Drosophila melanogaster: one gene and its partners. The gene in region 1 interacts genetically with each later gene. Each region holds a gene or a part of one and is shown in the gene's direction. Other genes may lie near its edges. The genes, in order: pk, Mks1, dgo and bdg.

Evidence for each region.
Region 2: of pk (region 1) and Mks1, changing one suppresses a phenotype caused by changing the other (phenotypic suppression), as found in Drosophila melanogaster (one study listed by BioGRID).
Region 3: of pk (region 1) and dgo, changing one enhances a phenotype caused by changing the other (phenotypic enhancement), as found in Drosophila melanogaster (2 studies listed by BioGRID).
Region 4: of pk (region 1) and bdg, changing one suppresses a phenotype caused by changing the other (phenotypic suppression), as found in Drosophila melanogaster (one study listed by BioGRID).

Annotation. Positions count from the first base shown.
Region 1 is NT_033778.4:7,185,338-7,191,001, forward strand, and holds the start of pk (prickle), read left to right. Parts: upstream 1-1,895; 5' UTR 1,896-2,276; intron 2,277-5,664. UniProt on the Drosophila melanogaster protein: Acts in a planar cell polarity (PCP) complex; polarization along the apical/basal axis of epithelial cells. Correct expression of the alternative isoforms is required for PCP signaling in imaginal disks.
Region 2 is NC_004354.4:12,493,534-12,499,188, reverse strand, and holds Mks1 (meckel syndrome, type 1), read left to right. Parts: upstream 1-2,591; 5' UTR 2,592-2,627; coding exon 2,628-4,727; 3' UTR 4,728-4,794; downstream 4,795-5,655. Other genes in the region: mdu (meduse), read right to left, coding at 1,596-1,616. UniProt on the Drosophila melanogaster protein: Probable component of the tectonic-like complex (also named MKS complex), a complex localized at the transition zone of primary cilia. Required for ciliary structure and function.
Region 3 is NT_033778.4:10,815,028-10,822,340, reverse strand, and holds dgo (diego), read left to right. Parts: upstream 1-2,456; 5' UTR 2,457-3,049; intron 3,050-3,237; 5' UTR 3,238-3,240; coding exon 3,241-3,300; intron 3,301-3,366; coding exon 3,367-3,792; intron 3,793-3,847; coding exon 3,848-6,145; 3' UTR 6,146-6,304; downstream 6,305-7,313. Other genes in the region: RpS15Ab (ribosomal protein S15Ab), read right to left, coding at 136-528; Lsm10, read left to right, coding at 731-1,156; Prosbeta5 (proteasome beta5 subunit), read right to left, coding at 1,358-2,059, 2,122-2,268; CG7222 (uncharacterized protein), read right to left, coding at 7,231-7,312.
Region 4 is NT_033778.4:15,928,406-15,934,431, reverse strand, and holds the start of bdg (bedraggled), read left to right. Parts: upstream 1-2,496; 5' UTR 2,497-2,908; intron 2,909-6,026. Other genes in the region: Diap2 (Death-associated inhibitor of apoptosis 2), read left to right, coding at 1-233, 613-1,648, 1,712-1,800. UniProt on the Drosophila melanogaster protein: Putative sodium-dependent transporter which is required for viability, early imaginal disk development and adult motor coordination. Also has a role in the fate commitment of the R3/R4 photoreceptor cells.

The DNA of each region.
Region 1 (5,664 bases):
TGGGAACTATTTCCCTGCCTGGGGACACACCTGTGCCCCCGATGTGGCGCCAACTTTTCCCATTACGATAGCCCTTTATGGGCCAACAAAATTGCCCATTTCACGAGAGGAATGCGGGCCCACACCCCGCAACCCCCATAATGCTTAATGGCGCGCAAATGTGGGCCGGAAAAGTTTGGAAGCCGACTTCGATTTGAGCTAGCTTGCATTGATTTGATGACACTTTGGGGCCCATTCGATTCCGCTAATAAACGAACCACGTCCAGCCCCCTAAACTCCAGCCATTCCCTCCCAGACTTGGCGTGTCTAAAAGTTGTCTGCACCTTGGGGCTGCTCTTTTGACGTTTCCTTCCCAAATGGTGTTTGATGAAATGTGGCAACGAATGAGGCCGTTATGCTTGCAATTAGCCAAATTGATTTTTTGATAGCGTCAACGCTATCCAACTATAATCCCCATTCTTATACTCAATCTTATTTTGGCCCTTATTAGACTCAGCTAATTGCCTTCGATTTACATTTTCGTTTCAGGTAAGCCAAGCGCAGAAACCTACATAAGTATACGTATTGCTGGACAGGTCTTTGATGCCCGGCCCCTCGGGAGCTTCACACGCCGCCGATCCACAATTCAAAATGCCATAAATCATGCATCATTGAGGCATCCCAGGTTGTGCAACAAAAAGCGGCACGCAGAAACGTAGTGTTTCCGTTCACACTCAGCTTCTAATTAGCCTGCGCTGAGATGGCACTAATGTGCGGCCTAATGATCTCCAGTCGGCAGGCAATGATGGTGACCAACTAACATGGTCAGCTGGAAATCAACCTTGAACTCGTCAGATGGCCAACACGGTTGACATCGCACTTTTTGTCACTTCAAGCCCACTTTGCAATGTGGTTGGGAAATATTTTTGCTTTCTGACAAGAGATATTTCATCACTAAGTACCGGCTTTAAATGTAGCTTATGTTATATTTTTGGTCACATCTAATTTATAAAAACCACTCTTAATTACTCAAAAGGGTTTGGCCAAATCGTATTTCACGGTTACCATATTAAAAACTCTTTTGGGTACCCTTCTAGTGTTTTAACTGTTAAAGTATGAAAATCATTTTAGTACGTATTCTTTCGTGTATGTGTGGTAATCAGCTCTTCTGATGCACTTCATTACTACATGCAGTTTTTTCTTACTTAATTATTTTAAGTTTATTGCTCTTTAAACACCATTAATTTACAAGGTGTTTATTACTTAAAGTTAATTATTTAAGATTTGAACAGCGCTGCCATCAGAATACGGCTGGATATATAACTACTAAATTCTTACATCCATGGGAAGGTAGATTACGCAATTCACTATTTATGAACACGAGGCATTCTATGTAAAAGCCCTATTATTGTCCCATAGAGTCCTGGAAAGTTCTTCAGATACTTCAGCATCTAGAATTTTAGAACCCTATATTGTTTGCAAAAAGAAACAAGAAACTTATATTTCTACATTAGACTTAAACGATGAAATATTAGGAACTCAGATTCTACAGAGAATCTTACGCGCAAATCTACATGTATATGATTCTAAAAATGCGTAGTAACGAAGCATACTTTTGGGATGGTAGTGTAAGCAATGGAGCTATCAAACAAGTTCGATGTTGCAGTTGCGGATTGAGTTGCAGCTTATGATATTTGGCGTTTTATACAAATTTAGACAATTTTAACGACGAAATCGGAAACAAATTACTATAAACTATCTTGTTATCGTTAACTACACTTAATAGTGATAGTATTTTGGCAGCTCGTTGAAAGAACACTAAAGCAAGAAGTCCCACGAACACCTTACCTTCATCGAACACGATCCACAGCCTAAGATCAAACCACACAGAAATCCACATCTGGGCAGGTTCGATCAGTCTGAAAGCGTCGTCAGTTGCGAGCGGTTTACATCTGGCAACAGGTGCGGGTTAGTCGTCGCGTAATCCGTCTGAACGATCGATCGATCGCGCGCTCTTCGGCTATGTCGATTTCGGTCCACGTTATCTTGCGCCAGATCTGTCGTTTACCGTTTTTCAGCCAGATCGGAGCAAAGTGCACAAAAAGCTGCTAACTGAATTCGCAACAATTGCAAAAAATTGACAAAAGTGAAGTGCAATCCATAATCCAGAGTGGTCCCTATCAGGGCCAGCTAAATAAGTCTGGCATAGTGTTCCTTCCTGGGGCCAAGTGAATTAATGCAACAATTGGCCTAAGCGCTCATTTACGCTAAATGCTCGGGATAAGCCACACGGGCAAGTGAGATGTGATTTAAGCCATGTTTTCGCCTGATGATTGTCAACGCAGCTCGTTTCGTACAACACGGATACCAGCTGATACTCAAACTCAAACTCCTTCACTGATACAAACGCTTTCGTATTCGTATTCAGATACAGATACAACTGACAATAAAATTACATTAAAAATCAAATGAAATTCGAGGCCGATTGATATGCGAGGCACAGACGTCGGGCCGGCTGCTTTAGCGCAATATTTTTATGGGATTATCGAAGGTCGAGAATCTGTTAGCCAAGGTGTGTGGCTGATACTTAGGAAACGAAAGACTTGAGCAACGAACTTTGGATATGCCCGGCCCGTCGGTGTAATGGCTTTCATAAGCTTATGCACATTACACGTCAACTGAAGTGCTCAGCTTGATTTATTTAGATGCGTTAAGTTTTAATCGCCATTCGCAGCGCACTTTCACCAACTTGCTGCAGCCTCGCGGAATGAAGTCATAACCAAATAGGCTTACGACCCGCTCCAGCACATAAAACATGACTCGTCTAGCCATAAAAACACTTGCCAAAGCCCGAAATATTTTGATTACCGCGCACAGCTCTTGGCTTTCTCCGCCGCTTGATCCAATTAGTTTTTGGTGGGCCATAGTGCAGATAAAGCTGAGGATCTACGGATCTGGTGATCCAAAGCAGCTGCCACCCACAGAAGTGTAATGAAACGGGCTTACATGGCGGCAATGTGTCAACAATGGCTTGTTAGCAATTGCTTTTCAGTCCCGTGTGTGTGTGTGTGTGTCTGTGTGGGCTTCGAACACCTCATTGACAAGAGACATTTGACTCGAGCTGAACGTGTGTGTGGGCCGGGGTTGAAATTTATCTCCGATTTCTAATTGCCTGACATGCCAATTTGAATTTAAAGCGCACCGATAGTGGTTCTGCGGCGCATTCCTCCGCGGTGTATGTACATAGCCCAGGCACGGTGGCCATAAAGCACCAACGGAACACTGCAATTCGCTCTGGTCTTTTATGGCCCGGCCAACTAAATCAATTTTCGCACTGCGGCTGGCTTCGATTCCGGGCTTTATTGAGAAATTCTTCATAATTATGTAGCGTCGGCCGGCGGCGGTTCGAAATAAAACTGTTGTTTATGGCCGAGTTGCGGCAACTAGTTGGCTCAATTATGGAGCTGCTGCATCAACTTTCTCCCTCACTATGGGCCAACTGCCACGGCTGCTTAACCCCAATCGACGCCTCGAACTGACTAACTAACTAACTAACTGGCGTGTTAATTTGTTGGTTAGTTTACTCCGCACGCAGCCATCTAGCCACAATTGCCGGAGCATGAAGGCAAGATGCTCTGGCTATCTGGCTGTCGGGCTATCTGAGATACAAAGCAGCTAAAGATTCCCGCCTCGGAATAGATTGGCCACTTTACAGTTATCGACTTGGTTTTGTTAGCATAACAAAAGGTCCGAGTGGGTCAACAACCTAACTTCGTTATGTCAATCTCTGTGTCTGTGCCCCACCATTTGCATATTACACATGTCTCACGTCCATTTAAAGACGCAATTAACGAACCATTTCCCAGCTATTCATCATTGGCGAGCGAATTTCGGTCTGTAAATTAATTAGGCCCCGTTATGAGCTTTTGAGGCGGGAAGTCGTAAATAAGTATTGGATCCGTCGATGGACGTATGCAAACGCCAATTTGAACTGTCATCCTGTCAGCTCGCGTTAGTTTCCCAACCATCTTCCAGGCAGATAAGAACGGGTTCCCCGGAAAATGGAGCAACGTTAGCTGGCCCGGCCCGCTCGTTTCCTCTCACTCAACGCCATTTGATTGGATTTGACATTTAACACGAGTGCGCTGCAGATTAGACCGGCCAACTGCCTACCGCCCACAAGGTGTCCATTTTGGCGGCGTGCCGACTCGATTTTCATTTCACTTTGTTTTCCACGACATCGAACGATTTTCGAGATGCGATCGGGTTTTATGTGAGCGCAATAAAAACTTGAAAAGGAATTCCATTTCTGCTTAGAGCAATCAATTTCGATGGCGACAAAGACGTTTAGCACCCCGCTCCACCGATAAGCCAGGCGTGAGATTATTATCCGACCCAATGAAATATGAGGCCCAGACAATGGCTCATTAGATCGCCGGGCTTTCGCCCAAACTAGTTTGGCTGGCGGACCTAAACTGTGTAATTATTACGGCCTGGCCCAGCCGTAGCTTTCAGAGGCTCAAATTATAGTTTGGCAGTAAAATAGACAAACAAGTTAATCCATTAGCGAGTGAGACATCCCGCCTGACTGCCAAACAGAACCGGAAAGAATCCAGCTCTGAAGACCGCTATTGGGTGCATATCTCTTATTGTTTATATTGTCTCCCTGGCGGGATTCGTATGGTAATATCGGAAAATGTGCCAGCTGCATAGGCCCATCCGACTGCATAATAAATTATGAAATTTTACAGTTGCAGCCGCGCTGAATGAGTTGTCACGTCTGCGGCTTTCTAAACCACTTAGGTAGGCAGTGATAAGTCCATATATATGTCAGATTCTGTGGCGCTGAATGGGGTTCTTGATAGCTTGATAACACAATTTTAACCCGTTCAAAAGAGACTTTCCGGGCAAATGCGGCTCAAGTGGGCGCAACACTAAACACAAAAGGTTGAGTGCTGCGGTGAACGGCTTAACTGCGCGTTGGGAAAGTAAACCAAGACAAAGCAATTGACTTTTTAACCTGCATTTCTGTAAATTACACTCCGAGAAAAATCTACATAAATAGTCATAAAATTAATTGCGCCTGTCTGCCATTTTCCACGCAGTTTCCCAGCCGCCGGCCATGAAATCTTGAGCCCCGGCAAATGCCTGGCAATAAAAGGCACCATAAAGCTACCATACTTGAGTTTATGCCGTATGCAAGGGGGGACACTCCTGGTCAACTGTGTAATTCCAACTGGGGATTGATGACAGAGCCGCCAGCCATTGAAACTAAAGTAGAGTCGTATGGAAAATCGCAGTTAAGAGCAATGCAATACAGCAATGGCAACTTCTGCATTTGCCTAGGCTGAGGCGTGTGCAAACGCGCATACGCCCCGTTGGCCTAGTGCGATTTCAATCAGCCGCTGCCAATGGGTCAGGCATTATCAGATATTAACGCCGGCAATTTGGCATCGGATAAATTACGCGACAAGCATCGATGGCGTCACTTACACATGTCGAACAACCGCCATCAATAAATACTAACGGTGCCTCGCGGCATCAACTCCACATCCACATCCAAAGTGCAACACTCCATCTGGCATATGGCATCTTGGATCTGGGATTTACAGCCTTCCATCTTCTGCCGTGGACCAAACGCCGGAAGTCTTTGTTTGGGCATTCGCTGGCCGCCCGGCTCCAGTT
Region 2 (5,655 bases), on another chromosome or scaffold:
ACATGTTCATTGCGATTCTCGAGGCATTTTATTTGGGTCATGGACAGTCATCTGGCTCAATGGTCCCCTCTGCGATGTCTTGTGTCTACAGGTTTTTCGACTTTTACTTGCAACTGGCATTGGCCGGGCCGAAAAAGGCATTTTTCTGGCTCTGCGGTTCCGTGTCTCATCTCGTTTAGGTTTTCAATATGAAACATTCTGTTTTTTTTTTTTTTGTGGGGGGTTCTGGGCTGTTAAGTAAGCTGCTTAAACAGCTGTTATGGCACTTCTTAAAGGTAACCATATTTCATATTTTTGACAGCTATACATTGAAAAACATGCGTTGTTTATAGACTGTCTTTATATGGATTTTAAAGCTTTTAAACATAGCGTAATTTTATTTTTGAAGATTTTGAATATAATGCAACCAAATAATAAAGTTATTAGTCAAATTCTTACTACCGGTCAACTTTATAATTTTTCAAATTGATACTAAATTCTGTGTCATTTGCAGTTTTTTAGTTCAACTCTGTGCTGGTCTGCAGATCTATATTATATATTAAATTTTTGTGTGTCATGATGTGGATGATTTTAAAAGAGATTTCTTATCGAAAATGACATTTGTGGCACACTTTTGGACTTAAGGCCTAAATTCTCCATCGTCGAAAGAGGTGGACAAGAGAAGGAAGCGAAGAAAGACAGCCAGAGAAAGAGAAGGAGGAGCACCACGAGAATTGTAGACCAAAACAATGGCGATCACAAATTTCACAGCTCTTACCATGACTTTGGTTTTGGCCCTCAAGAAAAAAGATCAAGACGGGTCCAAAAATATATTAAACACAATAAAACACACGCAAAAAAAAAACAGCGGCCAACTGTGCAAATAAAGCGCCAGCAACAATAACAACAACAATGGGGGACACACACACATGCACACCTGTGGGCAACAGAAGAAGAAAAACAAAACAAGAACAACATGTAAATGAAAAACCAAACAAAACCATTTTACAATTGTGGCCAAAGCATTATTGTTGTTCGTTTTTTTTTTTCTCTTTTTTTTCTCTTTTTTTTCTGCGGAAAGTCGGGAAAATCAGTCAATGGAACGTCACGGCAGAGCAGCGACAGCGACGCCGGCAGCGACGCCAGCAGAAGCAGCGCAGCATCGGGGGCGTACTAAGTTCAATGAAATACAGGAGAATGCAGGGAAGCAAAGGAGATAGGAGAATGGGTAATGGGTGGAGTAAAATCAAAAACCAAAAAAAAAAAGTAAGAGAAAATACAAGAACAACTTCATAAACTGCAAATCTAATGTAATCATCTGCTGGAAATTAACGATTATTTCGTAAACTATAATCGTAAAATGTTATTGTTTAACATTAACGAATATATGTAATAAGACTTTTCCTCAGTAATGAAATATAAAATGCACTAGTTTTTGCTTACTTTTAGGTTCCTACTTAATGTCTTTTTAATGCTTCTGAAATTACCTAAAACTTTCTTCATTTGGTGAAGAACAAACAAACATAGCATGTATTTTCAACAGTCTGTCTTGATTTCATATACACCAAGATCTTAGATATTATTAACTTATTATTATGTTTTTATTATTTACTAACCTCTTCGACTTTCTGCTGCATTTTGATGAAAAGTTTTAGTTTGCTGTGGCTGCAAAAACTTTTTTTTCAACACTTAACAGAACAAAATTTAAAAAAAAAATGAAACGATAGTAAATGTTTCAACTGGAAAACATTCACGGGATCGTCTACTTAAAATTGCACTTCCAGTGTTTGTTGCAGAATTTCTCCTTTTCTTCTTTTCTCTGTTTATCGGCGGTTGCGCGCGCGCAAAAGGTGCAACGAAGAAAGGAAACAACCAAACAAACAGACGGATGAATGGGGAGTTGGAGTACGCGCGAAGAATAATTGTAAAATTGTGCAGAATTGCAGACTTGGAGGAACGACCAGCACGCAGAGCAATCGAAAACACAACTGGCGGCCAAAATGAAACGAGGAATGTGGAGTGCATAAAGCGGCCGACGATAACACAAACACAGCGGCAAAGCTTCGCGAGCAATCGATAAGCCTATCGAATATACCGAAGCGGAGTTGGTATGTTCCAGGGCTGGCGACAGTGCAGCTATCTAGCTAGATTTAGCTATCTCGCTTGAAATTGGATTTGAATCCATTCACCATTCTGAATTATTTCGTTTGGAAACAAAGCATTAATTATTATTTGTAAGTTATTAAATAAAAAATATACAACTTAAAAATGTTCAGTGCTAGCTGTGTAATGTATGTTTATTATTTCCAATCTAATTGACATTGTATTTGTGGCTATAATAAAATAAATGAATAAATTACAGTTTGTACAATTTAAATTTATAAAAATCTTATTGAGCAGCTAATATAATTTCGGCTATTTTCTAGCTATCATATTTCAAAGACAGTTATCGGCCTTCATGGTTGTCACGGCAACAATAGTTGGTTTTCGGTATATAATCGATTGGTTACCTGGGCAACGGTAATTCAAAAACCATAAACAAAACATAACAAAATGGAAAACAAACAAAGAAGGCCAGTCATTTACATTCTTTGAGGTTTGAATAAAGAAACTAAAAATTTACTGGGCAAAATAATCATCGGCGAATCATGCAAAAAAGCAGAGACATAAAGCGCACTGGAGTTTATCGCGTGAGCGGAAACATAGGAGATCTGCAATTGGAACTGAAGCTGCGACACATCAGTGAATGGCTGCCGGTCCCCAAATTTGAATACGCGGGAGCGCAATCGACGAACGCATATGGTGACCACTATCCCGGATCGGAGGAAGATATCTGGCAGGATTGCTATATTCATGTCCCCCAGGGCGATGATTCGTGTGGAGGGAAGACTGGCTTGGGCTACAACTGCAGTTATTATAATGTGGGAATTGGTTACACCGGCAGGAGACGAAGGAGTCCAATATCTCAGCATGAGGGGGAAATGGAAAAGGATAAGAACGAGGGAGAAATAACGGATCTGGAGTCCCAAAGTAATCGGTCGTGGAGCATTCTCAGTGATAATAGTCGTCCTCCCGCTGGTGATCTCTTCTATAAACGGAATAAGGAACTCTGCAATGGTGCTATAGCCACAATACGCATATCCTGGCAGCAAAAGCACTTTAGTCAAGCGGAACTGGAGCAATATATAAACAATCCTGGAAGTTGCGCTTCGAAACTACAGCGGCGCTATCACAGGTGGGCCTTGGAAACCTTGAAGCTACAACAGCGATATCTAAGGAAACTGGAGAATCTGGAAGATGCAGAGACGGTGGAGGATCCTGAGCCTATTACAATTCGTCGCCGGATACGAAAGCCCAAGGCGAAGCAGAGAGGCTGCTCTGCCGCAGCTCACCCGACTATTACCAGTCTGTCCTCGGCGAATATGTCGGAGGTTTCAATACTGGATGACCCCAATTTTGCCGCCAGAACGTGCCTCATACACACCTTATTGGATAATGATTCCGAGAGTCTTATGCCCGCCGAAGCAAGTGAATTCCATAAAAAGGGCTATCAGCTAATGTACATCTATGCCGATCTGCAGCAGGACACACTGTTGGTTAGTATACGATATGATCCCGAACAGGGTCTGCTCTATGTCTATCCGGATTTCAGTAGCAGTGCCCAGGATCTGGATTATGTGATTCAGATCGAGCGGAATAACGATTGCCGACAGTTGTATGCCTTTGGCTTTGAGAATGTCACACCGCTAGAGGCCTACGACGATGATGGTTTCTCTGAGGAGGCGGATGGCGAGGATGAGCAGGAACTGGGCGATGGTTTACCCATCGAAGAAGATCTGCCCGAAGAAGCCTCCGCCGAGGAGATACTCGAGTTTTATCGCAGACGGCGAGAAGCAGCCAGCGAGAGGAGAAGTCTCCTCCAGTTCGAAATGCCGCCCAAGAGGATGAAGCGGGTCAGCCTGCTGCTGGAACTACAGGAAGGCCAGAACTTTGAGAACCCCAACATACATGTAAGATACTATCTGAAAGCACCAGCAAATACCTTTTATGAGGGTACACCTGGGGTGGATACCATGCAGGGAGCGACGGCCACGTGCAGGAATGCCGGCGACTGGAGGAGTGCCCATTTGGGTCACTGCTGGCAGGTGACCCTGCTGCTGGAGGAACAACATCATCCGGCTGATCTACTGCATCTATATTTTGAAGTGATCAGCATAGATAGCTGGCAGCGGGAGCGATGTGAGGGATATGCTCACTATGCGATACCGTTAACATCCGCCCTGCCAACGGACTCCATACGGCTGCAGTGCATCCGACCACTGGGCAACTGGCTGGATGCCCTCAATCGGTATTTCATAGGCGGTCGTCAGCTGTTCGACTTTGAGTCCTTCTTCGATGTACATCGGCAATCGGAAATGCATTCCCGTTTGAACTTCAACTCTGACAGGCCAATGACCACCACGGGAACACTTTCGCTCCGGCTTCAAAAGCTTCAGCAGCGCCAAATAGACACATCTGATCAGTTCCATCACCACTTCCATCTGGAACTCGGCAACGATAGTAGCGACGATGGCGATAGCAATGATGACGATGTCAGATCCAGTTCAAATCCGGATACTTCGAGGGCCACCACTCTGGACGAAGTAATGGCCGCCTTTGTGGAGGCCAGGAAACGGATCGAGCTGCTCCTGGGAAATAGTTCAGAAACAGCCTCACCATCATCTGCATACTACCAGGCTGAGTTTTAAGCCCTTCAATGAGTACAATAATATGATGACAAATAATTTTTTTTTATATAAACTATAATATTTGTATAATTATTAGTAATTAATTATATTATGAAAGACGTATTTTTTTTTATGTATGAGTAAAAAACGTGAGAAGCATATGTATGTACATTTGATGTGGAATATTTTGGATAGATTATTTAAGAACGAGCTCAAAGAGGTATATATTCAGACACCTATTTAAAAAAAAACCGATAATATTAATTTCAAAAATCGGAAAAACGGTATTGGCAAAATTTCATACATTTTTCGATGGGAATTTTAATCATAATTTTGCTAATAATAATCATTAAGATGTAATGTAAACAGTTTTGGACAGCTAATTACCATTGCTAACGACCCCAATCACTTTTTGAGGGATTTAGGAAAATTTATTTTTGAGTCAATTTTCTCATTTTTTGTAAGGGGTAACATCATCAAAATTTGAAAAAAATAGCAAAAAAATAGAATTCCTTTTTTTTGACACAGTTTGATGGGAAATTTAATTACGAGCTCATTGAGGTATGACATTCAATATTCAGGCAATTATTTTTAAATTTGTGGCAAAAAAACGGATTATTTATTGACGGAAATTCTAAAAAAACGGGTATTGCGAAAAACGTGATTTTACATACGGAATTTTCGTCATAACTTCTCTATAAAATGTCATATAGACGAAAGAATAACTGTTTTGAGCAGCTAATTACCAATGCTAACGATCCCTATCACTTTTTGAAGGATTTAGGAAAATTTATTTTTTTGACAATTTTTGCATTTTTTGTAAATTTTGCATCATCAAAATTTGCAAAAAATGGCGAAAAAATAGAATTCCAATTTTTGGACACAGTTCGATTTGGAATTAAATAACGAGCTCAACGAGGTATGACATTCCATATTGGGGCCATTATTT
Region 3 (7,313 bases), 3.6 Mb from region 1:
TTTCTGAATGAACGTAGTAGCGTTTTCGCCCTTTGTTTCCTGTGCACAAAGTACATAGTTGGATGCATGGTCGGTGAAATAAAACGTCAATCTACATATCAAACTCCATCCCTCTACGATGTGAACTTGGTGTCTCTAGAAGAAGAAGCCGAGAATTTTGCCTCCCAAATGTTTTCTCCTAGCCTCCTCGTGGTCCATGATGCCGCCAGAGGTGGTGAGCACAACGTAACCAAACTGACGCGAGGGCAACAGATTGTTGGTCCACTTCTCGATGTCGTTGATGGGCGCATCGAAGCGGGGCGAGATGACGCCGCACTTGTTTAGCCGACCGGTCAGGTTGACAACGATCTTGCCGGCACGGTGATCCTCGACGATCTCGAATTCGCCGATATAGCCATGCTTCATCATCACGGTCAGGAACTTGATGATCACCTTGGAGCAGGGACGCAGCAGCACCTGCCGCTTGCCACGCTTCTCGGCGTTGTTTATGCACTTCAGGGCATCGGCCAATACGTTCATACGCACCATAGCTGGATTTGTTTGCCAAAACTGTTTTACACGACCGTCACGCAAACGTGAAAAAGGGAAAAAACCTTTACTTGAAAACTTCCGTAAGTACTTCTCTTAGATGTAGTTCAAAACTAATTAATGAAAATGTCAAATTACTTATGAAGCGAGTTGGCAGCTCCGTGTCCAAGAGCAAACACTTATTTTTAAACATATCGATATAATGCAGCAGTTTAGTGCGCGGGAGAAGTATTTGGTGTCCAACACCTTAAATTGTTGGCCCGTGATGCTGCAGGGTCATTCCGTACTGATCGATCTGCACAACGAGACCTCTGTGGCCGGAATCATCGATGTAGCGGATGGACACATGACCTGCGAGCTCACCCATGCAGTTTTCATCGATCGCAATGGTGGTCAGCACCCCTTTGATCACTTTATGGTGCGGAATCGAATGATACGGCAGATCCACATACCTTCGTACTTGGATGCCGAGCAGGAACTTCGAAGCGCAATGGAACGGGGAGTCCTGCGAAGAAAGCGAGTGGAAACCAAGGGCGGAAAGCGGACATTCAAGCAAAAACGAGCGGAAGTGCGACACAAGGAAACATTGCAAATGATCTCACAGCAAAAAAAGAATAAGGAAACCTAAACTATTAATATATGCGTACTTGTTATATTTACCAAAAATACATTACATACATACAACTACATTTATAGTAATAAACCTATGAAAAGCAAAACAAATTAGCCCAATCAATTATACACAAAACATAGTCTCTAGCACGTTTATTTATTCCAAGAAATTCAAACGTATACAAACTGAATATCTTATATTCCCTTAATCAAAACTCTACTTAGCGGCCTGCTGCTTCAACTGCTCCTGGTACATGTAGTGCAGCTCCATGCAGTCGGTGTTGGAGATGTTTACCCAGCCGTCCTCCTTAATGTGATACACGCGAATGATACCACCGGAGTAGGCATCCCTGAAGGTGGCATGGTAGATGGCGCGACGTCCCAGCTCCTGGGCCTCCTTGTCCTCCAGGTCCCAATGATAGCCAGAGTCCAGGACACCGTAGGCGTACAGCGATCCACTACCAACAGAGAACAAATTGCCAGGCGTGCGAGATCCCTCGGAGTCCACATAGTAGAGGCCTGGACCACGCTTATCGTAACCGGCCAGCATCATGCCCATGCTCAGACCCATTCCCTTGTATTCGTGGGCAATGTTGGCCATTATCTTGCTGGCGGCGGCCACCGAGATGCGTTCCTTGTTTCGAAGCTCGTGAAGGCGGCATTCCTTCGAAAGGACCCTGTCCCAGTAAACGCAATCGGCTGCGCCACCGGCCAAGGTGCCCAGCATGAACTGATTGATCTCCACGATCTTCTTCATCGACTGGGAGCCAATGTACGATCCACCCGTGGCACGGGAATCGACTGCCAGGAGAACGCCGCCCTTGAACTTGAAGCCCAACGTTGTGGTGCCGTGATCGAAGTTGATTTTGACGCCGGTCTTGTCGCCATTGGCCTGGATCTGATTAAGGTTGTGCAGGGGCTGAGGAAATTGTCAAATTTTTTAGTAAATTTCCCAAGAAGATCAGCTAATTAACTACATACGTTCTCGAATGGCGGAGCAGCCAGTGTGTAGGGATTGGCCAGATTGCACATAAGCCCTTTTTGCTCTTCCTCCACATCCGCCGATGACCAGGCATTGGGCCGCATGTACGGAGCATTCGATATCTTGCAGATTTCAGCTAAAGCCATTCTTAAAGCTCCTTAAAAAACAATTGGAAACGTTGAATGCGAAATGCCGATGACAAACAAAATTCGTTGCCTACTTGTAGAGTGACCGTACTTCTGTTGGAGCAATAATGCAGACTATCGGCTTCACCGTTAGCTGTCGCAGGTACGGCAACCCAGCTCGAAACCTGTTGCCAATTTTGCCTGTGATTGGCTTTCTTTTAGTCTCTTTTTAGGCCTGGCTTGAAGCCAAATTAACTCTGGGCGTTCCATCAATCCATCAATGGCCAAATACTGCAAAGTCGGGTACTGAACAATAGTCGAAAGTAAACATGTGTAAATACGTGAGAGTGGCGAATTGCAATGCGTAAATTGCGGTCCAAAGACGGGATTTAAAATTAGTGAAAAGTAAGTCGGGAATCGAGAAAACCTAGGCGCACTTTAAACCTGGTTTTCAGGTCTAGAAATTTACTGTAATAGTGTTGAACATTTAAGAAACCATACATGTTTTATCAATGTGTTATAATGAAAGACATTTAATCTACCCTCAAAAAGGTTGTATTTCAAATTACGAGTCCTTTATTTGATCGCTTTTGGTAACTCCCACTTCTATTTGTAATGACAATTACTACGTGGTACGCCATTACGTGAGGCACACATACATGCGCATACACGGCTAGAAAATGTGCGATCGAAGATCAGATTCATTTGATCCCAGGTCAAGTTAAGCTCTTTCGTCGTCAACAAGGTTATATCAAAGAATACCATCTTTCATATGATTTTCGACATATAAACGATTCTAACGGTAATTACGGTACTTTAAGTAAGATTTTTCATTTATTAAAGACAAAATGTAGTTCTAATATAAATAATTTTTTTAATTTTATCTGGTTTTGATAAAGTGTTACTTAAAAAGTTATAATTGCAACACATCATGATAAATGAATGAAATTATAATTTAACAAATTTGATAAATAATGAATATTTTCGCAGACAATGCAGCATGGATCCTCCCGCATTCCGAAACAGGAAGCTCTCCCGAATGCGATATCCGGGGTAAGTAAGGGCACTTGCCTGAACCAACAAATCTTACACCGATGTAACTTCTTTTTCTGATTTAAGCCCGACTCCAGCAATTGGACTTCGCTGCACGAGGCGGTAGCCGCCGGAGATGATCGCCGGGTGGAGGGTCTCCTGTTCAGCAATGCTGATCGACTGGCCAGGGAATCCGTGCAGGGGAATACCCCGCTCCATGAGGCCGCCAGTCGGGGGTTCAGTCGCTGCGTGAAATTGATCTGCACGCCCCCCACGCCACCCGCTTCCTCGGGGGTGGGAAAAGCAGCAAAGGGACAGAAGGACAAAGACAAGGATAAGAACAAGGGCAGAGTGAAGGTGGCCCACCAGACCATCGAAGCCCTACACAATAGCGCCCTGGGTATTGCCAACAACGAAGGGTTGTCCGCCCTGCACTTGGCCGCTCAAAATGGTCACAATCAGAGCTCTAGGGAGCTACTGCTGGCCGGCGCCGATCCCGATGTCCGGAATAATGTAAGTGTTGGATCATATCAGTGATAACCATGTTTAACATGTTTAACAATTTCAGTATGGAGATACTCCGCTGCACACCGCCTGCAGATATGGACATGCAGGAGTCTCCCGGATCCTGCTCTCCGCCCTTTGCGATCCGAATAAAACAAATCTGAACGGCGACACCGCTTTGCACATCACCTGTGCCATGGGTCGCAGGAAGCTGACAAGGATTCTCCTAGAGGCAGATGCTCGGCTGGGCATTAAAAACGCACAAGGCGACTGCCCCATGCACATAGCGATCAGGAAGAACTACCGTGAAATCATCGAGATCCTGAACACGCCGAAGAAGATACGGAATCGCAAGGAGAAACCCAAGGAGGGCGGCAGCAGATCGGACAAGGACAGAGATCGTGAAAGGGATGTGGTGGACAAGGGTATCAACTGGTCACCCTATGGCTGTCACTACTTTCCCGATCCGCGTGCCTTTCCTTCACCAAAACTGGAGACACTGCCCAAGGAGCCACTTAAGTCGGGGGAGCAATACTTCCTGGATTTGGCTGGTCATATTCACAAGGGTCCGGTCAGCGTGGGCAACACATGCTATTGCGGTCCCTTCTTCCGTCACATTGAAAACAAACTAAATTGCAATCGAAAGAGTTTGAAGAAATACGTTCACAAAACCAAGGAACGTCTAGGTCACAAAGTTCAGGCATTGGCAATCAAGACGAACGATCAGATTGAACAGCTCACAAGAACGATGATCGAGGACAGATTGCGATGCGAGAGCAAGAGGCAGCACCTCAGTGAGTTCCTGCGACGAGGTGAACCTATGCGGTCCACCTTCGATCAGCAGAACAAGAGCTCAAGGATCGAAAGAACAATGTCCAGGTGCCGCAGTCTAGAGCTCTTGGAAAACAACCACGAAGGTGGTAGGCTCACCAACTCACGGAGTGTAGATGTCCTGGAAGATCAGGCAGTGGAGGCTATAGTACACCGATCAGCGGAGGTCCAGGTGGATAGCGACAGCGATGACGATTCCAATGAAGCTCGGGATGAAGAAGAGGCAGAAGTGGGTGACAAGGACCAGGTGCAAGAAGAGGCGGAACCAGAGGAGCACTCGAAGCTAGATGAACTTAAGCTAGATTTCCTAAAAGTCTCCGAAAGACTGGGAGTGCTTTTAGAGAAAACCACCCTGATCATGGAAAGGGACAGCGAACAGGAGAGCAAGCGCCAGCTTTCTTCCTTATCGCCACCTTATAATCCCCATCCAAGGGCGGAGTCTGCCCAACTTCGAGAAGATAAAGAGAGTGTTAATAGTCCCAATTTCGACGAGTACGCCAACGTGATACGACGCTATCCGAACTCCAGTGAGACCTCAAATCCCTCCCAGAACTCCAACAGCTGGGACTGGGAGGCATCACCCACGGGCAGCAATCCCCACCCGGATTACAATAAGTACTACCAGCGCATTGGGAGAGGAGAGAACATGCTGAACTCGGTGATCAAGGCGCTTCGAAAAGATGCCTCCTTCGCGGATCTGGGCAAAGAGGAGACGGCTGTCAATGAAACTGCCGAGGGAATGGGAGGCGACAAGCTGCTCTACAAGGAGCAAGCGAGCGAGGCGGCAGGTATCTCCAATCTGATGAAACGGCAGCCTCTTTGCTTGGAAGACAACTATCCCGTCATGTCGAATTTATTTTACTCCAATCCCATCATGGAGTACGCCGAGGAAACAGAAGTGCGTCAAAATGGCAATGAAAGTATGAGTAAGGTGGAGATTCGGAACAGTGAAATCAAGTGCCTAAAGAAGCCGAACGCTGGTCAGGTGAGGGATATGGTGGCCCAACTGCAAAACACCATTGACTCCAATCGACAGGACTCCCAGACGGCACATGTGATCGCCGCAAGATCACACTCCCGCTTGAACAATAACTTCCATCACTTGGAGGGCACCTCTTCGAACCCTTCGCCCACGTATAGTATTCCCCACCGGAGTAGCGCCCAGTTTGGGCTGCCCGAGAGACACATACCCAAAGATGCTTACTTCCATGAACTGCCCCACCGTCCACCGATTCCGCAAACTCCGCAGAGAAGGCTGCACTCCGGCTACGTACCAAATGCGAGTCTCTATCGCAGTGAAGATCTTTACGTGGGAAGGATTCCACATCCAAATGCTCCACCAAGACAAGTGGACTACGTGGATGCGGTAGCCTATAGGCCTCTGCAGTCCCCCACCTTTCAGGCCATTGTGCCGCCCCATGTTAATCAAAGGCCAAGGAACTGGCCTCATCCCAATCTTCCATCCAATGAAATCGATCTGGACGAGCTGTCTGCCGTTGGCCTCTACAACAATGTCTCGAGTCTAGTTTGAGTTCGGTAATCCCACAGCTGTTCCCATTGTACATAGCTAATCCCTACATATTTATCTTAATTGTAATCAAGTTTTAAACTACAAAGAAAAGTTAACTTATTTTCAACTGATGCATCTAATCTGGAGGGTCTAAAATATATAAATATAATACAAAGATATATGTACAATAATTTTGTTGTTTTTTGTTGAGGAGTTTTGGGTCTGAGTGTTTTCATATTCTGCGTAATTTATGAGAATATCGTGTACTTAATTATTTGGTTATTCCACTTTTGACCCCAAAAATACCCAAAATATTAAAAACGTTCCAACCTGCTCGCTTGTAAATCAAACGCAACCGAATGTTTTCGATCAAAATATATTTTTCTTTAAAAATGTTTAATAATAGTATTTATGCATGTGTAAATATCAGAATGTCAAGTACATATATTTATTGATAACAGATCATTTTGGTGTTTTGATAGACATGCGGCTTATGAACTCTGTATAATTGTGTAAACGAAATCAACCAGGAAATCATCTCAATAATCGAGCTCCGATGTTTGGTGGGAATTCAAAAAAACCAAATCCCCACCGCTGACAAAAGTAAACAAGTAAATTGGGCAACATTTTGATATCGTTCACCAATATGTCTGCGGTATTGTTAGTACAATTTTAGCAAGTGCCTAATGATGATTTCTCGATGTCTTCGTAGTTAATTTAAAATTCTATAAATGACACTGCTGCTGAACGGCGCCTGCTACTTAAATTTATCGGCCACTTAATAATATCTTAATTCTGAATAGTCATATTACAAATACAAATTACAATAGCCAATAATTTAGTCACTTCGCATGTATGTATAAGTATGTCTCAATGTAGGTTTGTTCTATGTAAGTATGTATATGTATATCGCCTAATTTAAGTCTATTAATAATAGTTGTTGCTTTCTATTTAGGGGGCGTTGTTGGCTTGGAAATTGATGTGACATGAGTAACCCGGCTTTTTGCTCTGCGTAACTTAACAATGTTGGTCTCAGGACTGTTGTTTTATGTGAACTATGATCGCTTGTGTGTCGCCAAGTGACATATTTTCGGTCAGGTAACGTCTCAAAGGGGACTGTTGTCGGAGTCTTCGCGCTCTTGGATTGTGGTAATGCTTTGCTGCAAGGCATTCGGTGTCAGCCATTCTC
Region 4 (6,026 bases), 8.7 Mb from region 1:
ATTTCTGCCACGTGCGCATCGACCGCTGGGAATACGGCGATCAAGTGGCGGAGCGCCATCGCCGCTCCTCGCCCATCTGCTCCATGGTTCTGGCTCCCAATCACTGCGGCAATGTTCCCAGGAGCCAGGAGAGCGACAACGAGGGAAACAGCGTAGTGGACAGCCCGGAGTCCTGCTCTTGTCCCGATCTCTTGTTGGAGGCCAATCGCTTGGTAACTTTCAAGGACTGGCCGGTGAGTACCCTGAGCTGGTGTCGCTCGCTTCTGGTGATTCACCATAGCGGGTCATTGTAATCACTATAGTTTCAGTTTCAAGCTCACTATAAGTGCATATGTAAGTATGATTGCGTAGTTAAAAAGTAGCGTAAATGAGGCCAGGAAAATCCCGGTCGAAAGTATCAATGATATTTTTGTATACAAACAAGAAATGTCTTGTTAGCTGCCTCAATTCAGCTGAATGTTGATTGATAATCCTACGAAATTAAGCTTTAATTAAGATATACAAAAATCATTATGAACTTCAAATGAAGTTATTGTATACTGTATAATTTCAAATATTTTTAATGACTGAATAAGATAGTTTAACTTTAGCCCAAAACGTCTTCCTTTGTAGAATCCCAACATCACGCCGCAGGCTCTGGCAAAGGCAGGTTTCTACTACCTGAACCGTCTGGATCACGTGAAGTGTGTTTGGTGCAACGGAGTGATTGCCAAGTGGGAGAAGAACGACAATGCCTTTGAAGAGCACAAGCGCTTTTTTCCCCAATGTCCTCGTGTGCAAATGGGCCCCCTTATAGAGTTTGCCACCGGGAAGAACCTGGATGAGCTGGGCATCCAGCCCACCACTCTGCCACTGCGTCCCAAGTACGCCTGCGTGGACGCCAGATTGAGAACCTTCACCGATTGGCCCATTTCCAATATTCAGCCCGCTTCGGCTTTGGCGCAGGCTGGCCTATATTATCAGAAAATAGGCGACCAGGTGCGCTGTTTCCACTGCAACATTGGATTGCGCTCCTGGCAGAAGGAGGACGAGCCGTGGTTCGAACACGCCAAGTGGTCGCCAAAGTGTCAGTTCGTTTTGCTGGCCAAGGGTCCAGCCTATGTAAGCGAAGTGCTCGCGACAACAGCTGCCAACGCCAGTTCCCAGCCAGCAACTGCTCCGGCTCCAACGCTCCAAGCAGACGTACTGATGGATGAAGCTCCGGCCAAGGAGGCCCTAGCCTTGGGTATCGATGGAGGAGTTGTGCGCAATGCCATCCAGCGCAAGCTCTTGAGTTCCGGCTGCGCTTTCTCTACGTTGGACGAACTATTGCATGACATCTTTGACGATGCGGGCGCAGGAGCTGCACTGGAGGTGCGCGAGCCGCCGGAGCCAAGTGCTCCTTTTATTGAACCATGTCAGGCCACCACCAGCAAGGCAGCATCTGTGCCAATACCGGTGGCCGATTCCATCCCAGCCAAACCACAGGCAGCTGAAGCAGTGGCGAATATATCGAAAATCACAGACGAAATACAAAAGATGTCGGTGGCCACGCCGAACGGAAACCTATCGCTGGAGGAGGAAAACCGCCAGCTAAAGGATGCACGCTTATGCAAGGTATGCTTGGACGAGGAGGTTGGCGTAGTGTTCCTGCCCTGTGGCCACTTGGGTAAGTCGCTGAACTATACCTTGATTGCCTTGAGCTGTAGCTAACTTCCTGTTAACCCGACAGCCACCTGCAATCAGTGCGCCCCCAGTGTAGCCAATTGTCCCATGTGCCGCGCAGACATCAAGGGATTCGTGCGCACGTTCCTTTCGTGAAGTGCATATCGACATCATTTAGAGTTCACCAGCCTAGTTAGCAGTTAAGCAAATCGATTGATTGCACCCACACAAACTACTACAGCGAAGTTCAAATTATCCGGTGATTAGCTAATATAATCGTCTACTAATCGTCTACTAAGTACTTGGCCAACTGCAGCTATTCGTTTTTACATTAGCTACGGTTGTAAGTTGTCGTTACTAACTATCGCATTGTGTCCGAGCGCATCCCTTTTGAACCATACATTATGCACGCTGAAATGACCTTATATAGATGAGCAGCTCTAATTCGCGCTGAAAAGGGTATCAATGCACCGGCACGACCGCAGATCACATGGATTTCTTGTTATAGTACTCTTATTAACACATGTATGTATTTTTGTTGATCATGTTTATAGGCCGCTGATAGTATGGTTTACACACAACTATATGCATTCTCCAATAAATGTATATGTAAATGTTAAAAAATTTGTCTTTTCAATTGCAAAAATTCTTTAAAATAATTTATTTATTTTGCTAAGTTTTAAATCCCAACGGTCTTCAAGTGATGTGCCCCGAGAGATTAGCCTATTAGCTTGCAACAGTCTGATTCCACTGCTCACAACTATCTCGATATCATCGCCATGCACGGTTCGATACTATCGATAGTAGCATCGATGTTTTGACGGCTCTACTCAAAAGTACCAAAATATTGGTATCCAAGCAATCGTTTTCAGCTCTCCGCGTGAAGTCGTGTGCGCTGCTCGTAAGGGAGCTCCATTGAGTTCTGGTCGCGAAAAACTAACAAGCTCCAACGCCAAGAAGTGCAGAAGATAGTGAACAAAATTTAGAAGAACCGAACCGAAGCTACGGGGAATTTTATGTGTGAAATCGAAATTACCAAACGCGCGCTCGTGTGAGTATATTCTGCGAGTATTTCAAAGGAAGAGTTCAAGTGTGTGTGTGTGTGTCTGGTGTTGCTGCTGCATTTTACGGAGTGTGGGCGCTTTATGCTCTTTATAGTGTGGTGTGGCAAGCAGTGGCCATATCCCCCCGCTACACCAGAAAACCCTTACAGTCCGCTACCTTTCCATTTTGGAATCTTCTTCGAAAAACACTTTTTCGTACGGTGAGAAACAAAGCGACGCACGCACACACACGTTCAGCGAGCGTTGCTTATCTAGATTGTAAGAGGGAGGGAGGGGAGAGAGAGCGCGACACGTATCTGAAAATCTCAATCTCACAAGTACACACCGTAATTTCGGTTGTCGAGCGTGCTGCGCATACGCGCTTGGCTTGATACCATTTCTCACATTTTCCATTCGGGTCAGTCGCTGGAAACAGCTGTGGGCTGTCCCCCCACCCCTTACCATTCCCTTCTAAAGAGAATGACCAATCCACCCATTAAGGTATTCCCCAGCGAACCGCAAAAGCCCAATCAGCGTTTATTTTTTATTCGGAATGATTATTCATTTAAAACTCTGGATAACCTGTATGTATGCGTGATGGTGTGTGTTGGCAATGTTTTGCAAATACATACAATTTCAACAGCGCATAAAAAAAAGAAAAACAAAAGCAGGGCGGGCTTTTTACCGTTCTCTTTCTCTTTCTTCCGCCTGCCAGAGGAGAATGCAAAAATAAACAAATAACGAATTCCCGCTATCTGGACTGCGAATGTGTTCAGAATTTCTATATCCATATATGTATGTATCCGTACACAACGTTTGTTTAGCAATTGACCCAGTGCTTCCCTTAAATATTGAACTCAATTGGAGGCGCAGTTACACGCGGTGGGCACTTTATTGACTGCATTACTCATATGCAAGTCCCAAAAGGAGGGGGATCGAATGCGAATGCCGCACCCCGTACTTGCAGCACTTATCTGTCTACGAAGAAATTGCATAAAACGTGCCGATCTCAACGTTTGATGTTTTACAAGAGTAGCTGGCATGGTGGTAGATAGCTGAAGTACAGTGAACTGGCGCTATGCGAGTCTGTGCTTGACCCACAGAAGTTACTGTCAAAACATTGCTTATAGATTTTGATTAATCACTTGTAAAGTTCATTAAACCCATTTAGGCTCATTACAAGTGATTAAGGTTTTAAGTGCCCTTTTAGCTTAACTCATATGCCTAATACATTTTGTACATCATTAAGTCACAAAGCAGTTTAAATTATGTTTTGAGCTACTTTATTAAAGAGAGTAAACCCTGCGTTTTTGTGTAGTTTTTACTAATGCCAGTTACTGTTAGCCGGTTTTCACTGTGCCAGGGCTGCGGCACCTGCACGCATCGCAGATCGAACCGTTGGAAGCCTCGCATCTCGCGATCAGCATAAGTTGCAACCCTAGTCGCTCACTAACATACACACACAGGCAGACATGCTGCTCACGCACAATGGAGCCAGCTTCCCAGTTTGCGCTCTCGTGTGTGTGTGTGTGTGTGTGTGCAAATACGTATGTATGTGCGTGTGGCAGCATTAACTAGTTTTATTTGCCTGGTGAATGTCAATTTCATTGTAATTGCACACTCAGAGTCTCTCCACGAATAGAAAAGGAAAACAAGTTGGCCAGCGGGCAGCGATGTTTGGTGATTAGTGCACCACACCTGGGAGTTGCCATTTTAGCCCCAACATTTGGCGAGGTGACCTTCGCCAGAGTTGCCGATCGATTGTGAGTTGCACTTGCTGTTGCTGCGGCGGCAGCTCTAATTGTTTTGTTTACATTTCTGTGTGCGGTGCGAAAATGCGAGAAATGCCAGAAAACGAGAGCGCCAGCGAAATTTAACGGTACGTGGTTGCCTGCCTATGTACGTTTGCATGTACATATATATAAATGTATCGGTTTGTGTACATATGTGAATTTGCGATCAATGGCGCTGCTTCGCTAAATAATTTGACCTCTGGGCCACCAATTAAAGTGTGGATGCTGCCCATTCTATTACCACCACACCACGCCACACCGCACCATCTGCCCATATCGCATTCGCATATATTACCAAAAGGTATTACCGAAAAGAAGTGCAAGACTGGTTGTGCGCGTGCGCGTGTGTGAGTTTCGGAGATTTTATGGCGGCTACGAAGGTCACGGCTAAGCGTATGCAAAATAAAATCAAAGCTAAACCAGACTCAACAGACTCTGTGATTCAATGAGATCGCAGACCAGCAACTGATAAGGCAAGTTGGCCAAGTCGAAGCTCAGATGCCCTAGTATCTAATAATTTCATTATTATATACACATAGCATTGCACTTGTACTTGATCAGCACATCTACTCTTATAGAATCCTTAAAATTAAAAAAGTTTGCTTAGATGTATAACCGTTATACAGTTAATAAACTGCATAAACTTATGCAAGTTAGGTTTGCCGGTTTCTATGGCAACTATGTGCTGCTTTTGATTGAACACAACATTTCCACATGCAATAAAAAAAACCACCACCGTTTGCCACATTTTATTTGCTATCCTGGCCAGAGGACTACGTTTATTTGGTCCTCGTTATATCGAATCACCGGCTGATACCGCCGACAAGTCGGAAATGTCTTCTTAAATACTAAATAAACTCCATAATACACAAGGGTATTCATACAGGTAAACAAAAAAAAAAAAGCGAATATAAAACAATTTTGACGTGAATCGAGGTAACGTGCCAACGATCTCCCCCCTTTAAGGCCTAGACTCCAGCACTCCCTTTCCGAATTGATTGTTTATATCGTGCCTTAAAAAATTATTAACGGAAGTACATTCACCTGATCAGTTGAATGAACATGAGCTCTGCTCTTTCCTACTGTTTTATTTATTTGCTTTATTTTTTTTTCTACCATTAAACATTTTTTTTCCATATTTTTTCTCGACCATTTGACAGCAGCTGGCGTAGATTGTTTTTTTTTTTTTCATTTTTTATAGACGCGATTCACTCACGTGCAAACAATCGTAAAAACGCCAGAGCACGCGCTTGTTTGCATTTGATTGCATTTTAACGTAGAATGAAAAGTGATCTTCCCACTGACCTGTCCCAATCGGTGGTTCTGATTTGATTGTGGCTTTAACAAACATTTTTCTCGGGCTCGGGTTTCATCTGAAGGAGAGCATTGCCTATCATCGCTGAACGAAACTTGGATTTCCCGAAAAAATAAACAACGTATTTGATTTGACGCAATCTGTGCTTTAATTGGAGCAAGTCTTATCAATTTCGGGGTATAATTTAAATGCTATACAGCTTTGAAGTCCGCTAGATGGTTGGATTACTCA